Drosophila melanogaster: one gene and its partner. The protein of the gene in region 2 interacts with the protein of the main gene of each other region in a pairwise test. Each region holds a gene or a part of one and is shown on either strand. Other genes may lie near its edges.

The links.
Region 1: the proteins of Sirt7 (region 2) and ergic53 interact in a two-hybrid assay, tested with the Drosophila melanogaster proteins (one large-scale study listed by BioGRID).

Annotation. Positions count from the first base shown.
Region 1 is NT_037436.4:8,532,939-8,538,558, reverse strand, and holds ergic53 (ergic53), read right to left. Parts: upstream 3,583-5,620; 5' UTR 3,554-3,582; coding exon 3,373-3,553; intron 3,186-3,372; coding exon 2,467-3,185; intron 2,392-2,466; coding exon 1,916-2,391; intron 1,669-1,915; coding exon 1,543-1,668; intron 1,478-1,542; coding exon 1,441-1,477; 3' UTR 546-1,440; downstream 1-545. Other genes in the region: foi (fear-of-intimacy), read right to left, coding at 5,454-5,618.
Region 2 is NT_033777.3:29,053,877-29,059,907, reverse strand, and holds Sirt7 (sirtuin 7), read right to left. Parts: upstream 3,982-6,031; 5' UTR 3,765-3,981; coding exon 3,600-3,764; intron 3,380-3,599; coding exon 1,229-3,379; 3' UTR 704-1,228; downstream 1-703. Other genes in the region: CG11843 (uncharacterized protein), read right to left, coding at 4,142-4,417, 4,492-4,807, 4,862-5,135, 5,276-5,360.

The DNA of each region.
Region 1 (5,620 bases), on a different chromosome or scaffold from region 2:
CAAACCACTTGGAAACTGGTCCTGCTCCTGCGCAGTGAAAGTATATAGGAAACGGAGCACATAGGCGAAGCTACCATCCAACCGCACACCAGAACTGTGTAACCCATTCCCCGATCCCGTAGAGAATTTATTGCATGGGCCGCGACTGCCGTTGGCTTCTGTCCATCTATCTTTGGCTGTGCTTTTCCTGGGATTTTCCCCAATGCGATGGAATGGGTACTCAGACCACAGAGGACCTGCCCACAATGCCACCATTGGCAGTTACATTTTATGGCCAAAGTTCACCAGAACCCAACTCGTTCCCCAGCCCCACGCATTCTGGCGACCAAGTGGCGCCATTTTTGCCGCATTGTCATCGATGGGAGGATGAAGATGGGGATGGGCAACTGACAGGGATTCTAGTTTATGCTTGCGAGGACTTTTCAAGAAATAAACTTTTTCCTCTGTCGACATCAGCGAAAATAATATCGCATTCGGAAAAGTATAAAAATAAAATGAGGACGCAGATTAAAACTATCAAGTTGAACAGTTGGAGATAGATTTTTCTATAAATTGATTTTTATTTTCACTTTAAACATTTCTATCGAGACTGGAATGGACAACATATATAAAAACACACTTCACTTCAATTGTTTTATAATTTATCAGTATGTATATTAAGATTATTCAGTAGAAAACTTCCTTACATCGCACCAGTGACGATGCGAACCGAACAAAAACTTAGTGAGACAGTTCATCATAATTATTAAATTAATTCACTTTCTGGCGTAATAACAAAAATGCTGGCTAACTAGCTTTGTTGACCATTTGGCGCATGAAAATGGGAAAAAAGATTTATGTTGCCAATTCAGTTTCAAGAGCCGAGCCTGATGGATTCATCTCAACTCTAAAGTATACAAGATATTACAAAAATTTGCTACGTTTACGGAATTTTCGTACTTATATAGATTTTGCCATTTTTATTTTTATTTTTTTTTAGATAGATTTTCTTGTGCTTCTTATAAATGCCTGCACACATGATATGCAGAGTTGAGAATGGAGTGAAACTTTCGACTTGACTTGCTAAAACAAATATGAAACATCTTCTGTTGGCTATTACTAAGGGAAGTTTGTCTTGTGGCTTCTTCGACGGTTTCTTCGTTTTGTATTGCGTGGCATTGTCATGAGGCATACATCATTGATCAAATTTCTTGTTCTTGCTTTGATTAAGTAACGACTTGAGTTTGTATTCGTGACCTGACTTCTTAAACAGACTTCTATTTAAAAAACAAACAGTTACACATAATGGTAGAGCATGCTACGCTGAAGTCTTAAATCTTTCATTTTAACTAAATTTAGTTGCTGCCTAGTCAGGTGTGCGAATCTGTTTCCTCGTGATTTCTGTGGGTGTATGCTTGTGTGTTTGTTATTCGTTACGATCCCAATAAGTCGCGAATTCGCCTAATAGAACTTTTTCGCCTGTGCTTCGCTGCGGTTTCTGCAAGGAATAATAAGTTAGATTGTTTAGTTTCGAATCCACGCTTAAAGATTCCATGAACTCACTTGAAGACGTTGTAGATGAAGACTAGCAGCAGTTGCACAACAGTTACGCTTAGGAACAATGTGACTCCAACGCAATTGCCCGTGGGACAATTGGCCACCTGCGCTGCTCCCTGTGGCGCTGCCAATCTGCAAGGTAAGGGAATGCATATTGAGTATCAAGGAGGTACTTAAAAGATGACAATAAAGTATAATAGTCTAAAACTCATAAACATGTTCCTCTGAATCAAACTTGTTAAAACTCTAATTTCATAATGTGGAATACGAAAAATTAGTATAAATATGGCTGAAAAGGTTAAAATTAATTCGAGCTCAGAATAACTTCGATGACAACAGCTTTAGGAAACTTAAAATAGACTTTGAGCGTATTCCTCACCTTTGGCCCACGTGGGTGATGCCCTGCTTGACCTGATTCATGCCATCGCGCATCTCGGCGATGAGCGTTTGTACATCATAGCCGGTGGATTGGATTTGTGCTGTGGGCGCATGCTTCTGATTCGTTTGAATGTTATCAGTGCGCACATTGATATCGCCAACCAGTTGACGAATCTCGCGGATGGAACTGAGCAGCATGTTCTGATTAGTGAGCAGAAGATCTACATCGCTCCTGCTGACTGCGCCAACGGGCAGCTGTTGCTGTGGCACTCCGCCGGCGGCGGGCGGAGGCAGAGCCTGTCCAGCATTACGTGAGACCAGCGACAGCGTGGTCTCCTGGCGGCCAATAATCTCATCCACTTTGCGGGAAAGTTCGCGTAGGTGATCGGCAATTTGGCTCTGACCCTGCCAGATCTGACGCAGCTCACGCTGGTTCTCCGACTCGTAGAACTCCTCCCAGTCCTCCTCGTCTTTGTGCTGTGGGATTATACGAAAGTTGATTATCAAAACTAGCGATAAGACATCTTTATCAGCTGGCTGCGTGGCAATTACCTCGTCGGGATGGTCCTTCTTGTACTCCTGCTTCTGTTTCTCCAGTTTATCTTGGTATTCCTTGTACTCTTGCGTAAGCTTCTCCTGGTTTTCCACCTTGGGCTGCTCCTGAACTTGTCCAGCGGCATGCAACGACGTGGTCAGGAAATGGAACACATCGTGGTCATCGGCCAGACCGCCCGTGGCGGCGGAAATGCCAAAGTAGCCGTTCTTGGGCAGATTGACGCCATCCGCTCTCAGACACAGCTCGTAGTCATCGTTGTTGTTGGACATTCCGTTGTGGATCATGACGGTAAGCACGTTGTTGTAGTACTCGATTCGCGCCCGTGTAGGGAAGGGCTTGTTACGGAAATCCCTGAGGCAACCGCTCAGGAGCTGAGTGGTTCCATCTTCGGCATGGTCATACAGCTTGGTGCCATCATTGAGCACGGCACTGATGTAAGGATTGTTGTGCTTGTTGTCATTATCGAAGGAATCGAACATGATGGCCAGACCATTCCAGCGGTCCGAGGATCCGAACACAGGCCCATTGTAGTCACCCTTTTCCGTGGTGTACCAGAAGGCCAATCCATCGGCTCCGATCCTGCCACGTCCCGTCACCCGGAACACGATCTCCACGTCCCACCAGTCGAAGTTCGTCTGTGACTTTGTCCAGATGGCACCCTTCTGTGAGCGCAGCGATGGCGCCACGCGCACACTTTCCGAACTGGCGATGGCATCTGAAATGAGGAGCAACAAGTTGTGGCTATAGAAACACCCGAAACCGTGGTCAAAACGACATCCAAACAAAGTGCCTGCGTGTACACTTGGCCGCCTCGCGCCATCTCGCTCGCACCCATGGCCGCAGACCAGCAGCGAGTGGGCCAAAACAACTGACGTGGAGCTGCGTCTTCCACTCGTACTCACTTCCCCCGTACTCCCAAAACGGCACGGTGCCGTCTTTCTGTGCCAAATACGGCGGCTTGAACGAGTACTTGTACTCGAAGCGACGGTGCACGCCCACGGCTCCAGGACTCAGATTGCCGGTCGCCTCGGAGCTGGGATTCCACGCCAGGAAGCACAAAATGGCCAGGAATGTGGGCCGCATCTTTGCAATTATATGTTGACAACTAGTGGTGGGTGGGCGACGATGGTGCAAACTGATGATATCGATAACCAGCCGGCACCGATAGGCGGTGGTATCGCACTGGATGTTCTAAAAGCATTGTATAATTTAAAATCAAATATTATTTTATGTATTGTCTACCATTAACAATTAAGGTAATATAATATAAATTGATTAGAACATTTATTTAGGCCATCCTTCGTATATAAATGTTGAACTTAAATAAAACCAGCCATCCTATAACAATTAACTTCAGCTTAGATCACAATTTAAAATTCTATAAGATAAAAGTTTTTCCATGCATTCTAAGAAACAAGAACCAAGTGATCTAAAAAATATTCAGGCAGCGACAATACAATCGCTATCGATTTCGGTAGATTTTATATCGATATCGCAAATGCCCACCAAATTCAAAAGATCTTGTTATCACTTTATGATGTTGAGGTGGAAAAACATTTATTTTGAAAATTTAAAGTGTTTACGTCCCGTTAGAAAATAAACATAAATATAGCAAAATACGCGCCATTCGCATGTGCTTACATAGATACATGTTTATCAATACGTTATTGTAAAATTATTTCGTTAGTTGTTTCAATTGCCTTTTGCGTGATATCACCAAAGTAGTATTACATCCATATCTCCAAAATTCCTTTAGCACAGTTAGCACAGTGTGTGTATATATGTTTACATCTTTATTCTTTGTTTCTGATTTCCTACCGTTTGTAGTTTTCGTAGAGCTTACAGCTAGAATTATTATAGGTTTTAATGCCTCGGTAGCACATAGTGTGGGCTTCATAAAATATTGTTAGTTGCTCAGTTTACACAAGTGATAGCTTTGTGTGCAGATCGGTGTGTGGGGGATAGTCATTAGGGGCGATCGTGCCGCAAGTTTCGCCATTTTACAAATGTTAGTTACTTATTTTGAATCACAATCACTTTCGTGTTAGTTCTGTGCGCGATCAAAAGAAAAACTCAAATCGATTAAAACAAAATCAAAGTCTTTGTTTTAGCTTGATTTATTACAAAATTATAATTAAACGAAGGCGCTACAGTGTAGCGAAAATCTAAATTATGCATGATGGTGCAATATAATAATCTTTTCAATTTATTACAAATACGATAATAAATTAAGCTTAAATGGGTTTTGTGTACATTTCCCGAAAGAGGAAATATGCGTTCAAGTCGTTAAGTACTGTAGAAAATCATAACAGCGGTGGACATACCTTTATTTTGGGTTTAGAATGTTAAACTCGCATAAAGTAAACGTGCGCACTCTAGACTACAAAATACAAAAAGTATATGTATGTATACATATCCTACAATATATATGTATATTTATATATAATATATCGTAATTTTTAGGTTCTCTTTCGTGTATAAGATCAGTAATTAGAGGATTGTGGGATCCAGATCCAATCCATTTTTTGTTACTTCCTTTTCTCATTTGACAGCATCACGGCATGCTTTTCAAATGTTTTCATCTAAATTCAAGATCACTTTATAACCTAGCCAATTTCAAGACATCTTACATTAAATTGGGTGTGAAATGGATTCGAACGCAGTTCAATAGCAAAATTAGGAACGAAAATAAAACGAGTTTGATGAATTGCGTCGCTTGTGTGTGGGTGTGAGGTTGTGTGTTTCATAAACTGGATAACAAATGCGTTTGATAAGCGCCAACCGGCTGTGTCTGTGGTTCTGTTTTGTCTAACTCTGTGAACTAATAATGTAAACAACAATGTAATGAAATTATACAAAAAATAATAATTCAAGAGGTTCTATAGGCTTGGCGGAAAAAATGCAGTTAATACACAAGATTCGCTGCAATTCACATAATACGCTACAAGATTCGCTGCGGTTGGTTACAATTTCACTTATGTTATTAGTGCGCGTGCTGGTGTGATGCGGCTCCCGCTGTGCCGAACGCGCTCATCAGATCGCCCTCGTAAAGGGCAATCAATAGCATTATCCCCACTCCGCTGAGCATGCCGAGAATCTGCAGCAGAAACTGGCCCAGTGATTTGTGCGAGGCCGAGATCTCTGGCATCT
Region 2 (6,031 bases):
GTCATTCCCATTTCCATTCCCTCACACGCTACTCAAAAACTATTGCGATTTTAATCTCAACGCCGACGTGCTCAAAGCACGCGCCCTTTTTCTGTCTACGGAATTGGATAATTGTATTATATGGAAACGTGATTCGCTACTGACATTGCGCCCTCAGAGCATTTAAAAGACCCACACTCCAATCGGCAGCCATTTTCTCGTGTCCACGTCCTGTATTTGTGAAACTTTGTATTTTTATATTGGCCCACTGGCTGCTCTGCGTAGCTCTAGATATTATGTTTTGTGCGCTACATGCACCCTGGAAATTCCGAACCCACGCCCACGCCCTGCCCCCGAGTATATCGATCGATAGCGTTAATCTAATCAACCTGCTGTTTTCTATGTGTGTAGTTATCCCTTGTTTGTTTCCGTTGCCTGGTCTTCTGTTGATTCTTGGGTATTTTGCAATGTTCCACGTGAGACTCACACACCTCCTGAAGATTGATGGGGAAGCCAATTCTTCGTCTCCGCTCGCTCCCAGCATGGAATGCCTAATCACACACAAACACTCACACGGGATCGCAAAACTATAACTAAAATAGCAATACTTTATGTTTAAGTTAATGAATAAATTTGGTTCTACACATAATGAAAGCGAATCTATTGCAGTTTTATTTTTAACTGGTTACTGCAACTGAAGGGCGAATAAAAATCGAATGCATTTCATTATACCATAATGCTTATTTTCTTTATTTAACTTACGTGTGTAGAGGGGCGGATGTTAGGTTAGCGTTCTAAAAGTAAAAACCTATATTAATAATTAAAAACAAGGTCAAATGATTTCTGCAGCAAGTGCACCAAAATACCAGGACAAGAGTTACACAATTGTGACATACAATCAAACCCATTAAAATTAAACTAAATATCGAAAATAGACAAAAACGGGCTGACCTATTAATATAATCAAAGACTGACAAATAGAGCATTTTAAAAAACACGTCTAAATAAAAGGAACCCTATTCTATTCTAGCTGCCACTATCATCTATGACTTATAAACCTATAGCTAAAATACTATTGAAGCGAGCATATGTCTCGGTGAGGGCAGGTCGATCTTTTCCGTAGAAAAGAAACAGCTAGCTCCTTCATATCAAGTATAAGATCAAACGTTTCCAAAAAGCCATTGACTCAAGGGTAATCATTTCACCTTCTTATCTTAGGGAGGAATCACGGCCGTACATAAATGGGAATCTACCGTCTCTTCCGACCTTTCTTATAGCCCTTGCCATACCATCCTGCCTGGGTTCGCGCCAACTTCCGTGGAAAACTCGTGCTCAGCTGCTGTCTTCGCTTTGCCGTTTCCGCCGCTGCTATGTGTGCCAAGGATATATTCTCATCGTAGTCATCGTCGTCGTCGGAAGTTGGACAGCACTCGCAGACCACGAACCGACCGCTTCTGGCCCGTTTCTTGTGTTTGCGCTGACTGAGGTTCCAACGCCGGTAAAACTGGCACTCCAGCTCCGCATACCGATCAAAGCAGAAGAAACAACTGGCAGCGGATCTGTTCATCGCAAAGTTCGGCACCACCTGCGAGTTCCAAATATTGAGATCCGCTGGTGGTGGGATCAGGATGCTATGCAGACCAGAATACGCGTACTTGGCATCGTACCACGTGGGTAATTGGCGAAGCAGCTCCTCATCGTTGTTTTGCCTCAACAAATCCATCTGGGCCAGCTCGCTTTCCTCCTCCTCTTCGTTATCGTTCTCTGTGCTGGAATCACCATCGCCCTCGCTCTTTATCTGTATGCTGGACGACTGAGAGGCAGGTGGCAGGACCAATTTGGGCTCAACAAAGGGTGTGGACAGTGGTGCTCCAATGGGCACCAGCGGTGGCAGCTGAAGCGGCTTTAGTCTTGATTCAGTTGGGACCGCGGACAAACATTCCGCATGAGTTTTTTGTATGGCGACTAGTTTTGGCAGCTCTGGAAAACCATTGCTCGGCGTTTCCTCCGTCTCTTCTTTGAGCGAAAGTGGTTCTAGCTTTGGTAGCAGCTCCAAAAGTTTCAACTCCTGCTGAAAATTGGTGTCCGAGCACTCTAATTTCTCCAGCTTAACTTCAGTCTCTATTTTAATGGACGACTCCAGCGTGATTAAGTCCTTCTCTGTTTTAACCTCCCCATTTGTTTTCACATGCTCCACCTTAATTTCCTCGTCCTGGCCATTGAGCGTCTTGAATTTCTGTCGGAGCTCCAGGTTAGTCTTAACTCTTCGACCATTTTTGATGGGTGTGCGAATGCGGGGTCCTTTGCCGATGGGAAGATCACTGTAGTTAAAGCTACAGCTCTCGCTGGAGATAGTCGAGTCTTGCGTTTCCTCAGTGGTAGTGGTGAAGGCCTCCTCCTCGTCGGCATTCTTCAGCAATGGTTGTGTAAGCGTGTGCAGTTCCTCGGGCATCAGAAGCGAAGCATGTGCGAAAATCGGATCCTTCTCTTTCGTGTAAACGGGAACTGGAATGTGGAGTAGATGCATCAATTGGGCCATCACCTGATCGCATTTCCCATTGATCTTTATGCTAGCAATCGCATCCTTGGGCGTCCACTGCAAGTTGACCACACAGATCTTTGCTCGCTGGCGGGCAGGCCGGTCCATCTGCCAAAGCCAAGTGTACTTCTTGAGTACCTTGAGACTGGAGCCCAAGCAGAGAATCACATCCGCTCGCTGCGCATTGGCAGTGGCTCCCGCCCAGTTCAATGGCCACTTGACGTTCCCCCGCTCTCCGAAGTGCACAATGGTGTCGTACAAAGGCTCCGAGCAGCGATGGCATAGGCGGTGGGTCTTGTGGCAATAGCGGGCAGTCATCTCCGTGGTGTCGAACTGGCGCCAGTAAACGCTGTTCGGTCGACAGTTCTTGCACACCTCCACGTACATGTTTCCATGGATTTCGGACAACGAATTTCTCGGTAATCCGGATCGCAAGTGCAGGCCATCACAATTCTGGGAGACCACATGATGCAGCAATCTGCGGCGATGCAGCTCATAAAGTGCCATGTGCGTGTAGGTGGGATTCGCGCTGGATAGATCATGCTCGCCGATGTCCTGACCCTTTTGGAGCAGTGTCCATATTCCCTGGCTACCGCGATAGTCCGGAATCAGGGCTGCCGTGCTTATACCGGCTCCCGTGTAGCAAACTAGATGCTTAGCCTGCGAAATGATGTTGGCCAACTGCTCCACCTTCGCCTCGATCACGTGCGGCGCATCCTCGCGTTCCACAACCCGCTCCTTGTATATCTCTACCCGCTCCTTGCGCTTCTTGGTCGTCTTCACCATGTCCGGGTGTTTCTCCAAAAACTGTCGATCTTCCGTCGTGCGCATGGAGTCGCATTTTCGCAGTATCATCGAGACCTGGAACATTTTCATAGATTAGCATTGGCTTGATAGGCGTACATACATGGCTTAATATATAGACCGTGGTTTATTTTATAATAACTTAGGGGGTTTGATCTTTTGGACACTAAAATATAATCAAAGATTGGTATTTGACATGAACTTTGTAATTTATAAACAATCTAAATTGGAACAAGCTCTGCCAGCGTAAAAACACACACACAGTCGCACTAATTACCCTTCGCATGGCATCCTTGCGTCGTCGCTTCTCGTTATCCTTCTTGGCAGGATTCATCTTGGCCCGCGTTATGTAAGACTGCGCCACGTCCATCTCCTGCTTGGGCTCCATCTCAGTGTTCTGCTCCTGATCCTGGTCCTTTTCCTCACCCAGATCCTTCTCCATGATCCGGCACAATTGGCAATTATGCGGGGACAAAATAAAATGCGCCGCAGCCAGGAAGGGGAAATTGTGATGTGGAATCCTGCGCAGGATGTCCGCTTACATCGTATTCGCCATGCGGCTTCAGACCTCTGGTCATTGGTAATTTACAATCCAAATCCAGCGACGACTTTTGTTTTGTAAATGTTTCTTTTTTTTGGGAAAAAAAGGTAAACAACTATCGATGACTGCATCGATATGTTCGGTCTATCGATTTCGTAGGAATGACTCGCTTCCACTTAGCAGCGATTCTAAATTAATCGGACTGTTAAATGCTTTTAAATTTAATTTTTTAAGTATTTAGTAAAAAATTTATATAAATTTACAGATCCAGATGTAATTTAAAACGTGGCCAAAGTTCGGGCTATCCAGCCTAAATAAGGATAGACGCGAGTGTAGATTCCGGGTATTCCTGGTGACCCACAGGACAAACCGGCCGACGTGATTCCCACAACTACGTACATACAGGGATATTCCCGATGGTACATTAGCAAAGGTCCTCCTGAGTCGCCGTTACAGGTGTCCTGGGCCATCTCCGAACCAACACAGAGCTGGTTGTTTCCATCGAATCCTCGAGGGAACTCCTCCACCTGCCGGGTAAGCAGTTTCTTGCACACCTATAAGGAAATAATATATTTATTAATGTGGATTATCCATGGGGATTTATAATATCCCATGCCAATTTACTTACCCAATTTCCGTAGCGCTGCAACTTCACCTTCAGCAGCTGGGCGGATGGCTTCAGCGCCAGGCCAGTGCTTCCCCACCCAACGGCTATGAAGGAGTCGGAAGAGCGTTCATCCTGGAACGGCAGACAGGCTGGATGCTTATATAGGTCAAAGACCACGGCCTCCGTCAGTTTGACAAGACCTATATCATGGTAGAACTGCGGATCTTCGTAGCCCGGATGGGCTATATACCCTGCAACCATATAGTCTCTGGGCGCCGCATCCTCATCCAAGGAATCGAAGTCGAGTTCGCCCAATCGCACAACATTCACCTCTCCCCTATAAAAATGAGATATTTATTCCTAACTTGAGCAGGGAAAAACCTCTGCTTACCTTTCCGATTCCAGGCAGTGAGCTGCGGTTAAGACGAACCGCTCGCTGATCAGAACGCCACCACAAAACCAGTCGGCACGGCTGCTCGGATCTGGGCGACGCCCCAAGCGGGCCATATGCGGAAATTCCCTGGGCTGGGCCGGATGACCACCGACGATGAGCGGCGTGTAGCTCCTGCAGTTGTCTATGATCCGACTCTCAATCGAAGCTCCGGGCAACAGGAAACCGAACTCGATTCTTTCCTCGAAAACGCTCTTCTTGTATCTAGAGCAAGCTGAACATTGCGATTTTCAATTTGATAATCCAATATTGATCAAAAAGAACAGCTCAGATCAGTGGTCAACACGTTAATATATTATAATATATAACTAGATCTTTAAAGCCACTTGCAAGGCTACTTCTTTGTCCACTTACATCCCACAACATCCATATCCGGCTGCTGGCCAAAAACACATGCCAGCGAAACGATCAGCTGGGAGAACAGCCTCCATATCTTCATCTTCAGGTGGCGATCGGTGATCGACTGTGCGATCCGAACGGGTTTAGCTCCCAATTAGTTACCGATCAATTAGCTGCGGAAAGCCCAATGGAGGTGCGTCTAAAGCGGGTAAAAGCTAATGAAATCCCCGCTCTTTTAACAATTATTCCACAATAAAACGATTTTGTTTTTACTTCTTTATAAGTGGGTAAGCAAGGCTGATCTTACGTATCTTGTATCTTCTTACTGGGTAAAGGTTATTTAAATGCTTATATATATAAAATATATATTTGAAAAAAACTACTACTTCTGATAGAACGGTGATCTCGATAGACTTTTCTAATTCAAATCTCTAATTTAAATCTATTTTATGGCCAGTTGCTGCCTAATCCAGTCCAGGTAAAAGTACACCCTTATGTACATGCCCAGCCACCCAGTTTCCAGAAGAACAATCGTGCCGGATTGCCGAGGCAATCATCGTGTGGTTGCCTCGGCGTTTAGTGAATGACTAGAATCATAATTCATAATCGTTAGTACAATCTGCTCAGGATAATACATAAATTCCCGGAGAACTAGCGTTCATGTTCAAAAGTATTTTTATATTCATGGACTTTGCACTTAAATCAAATCATTTTCTAGAACACTGTATGTGAATAATACTCAATCAATTCAGCTTTATTTTCCATTTACTA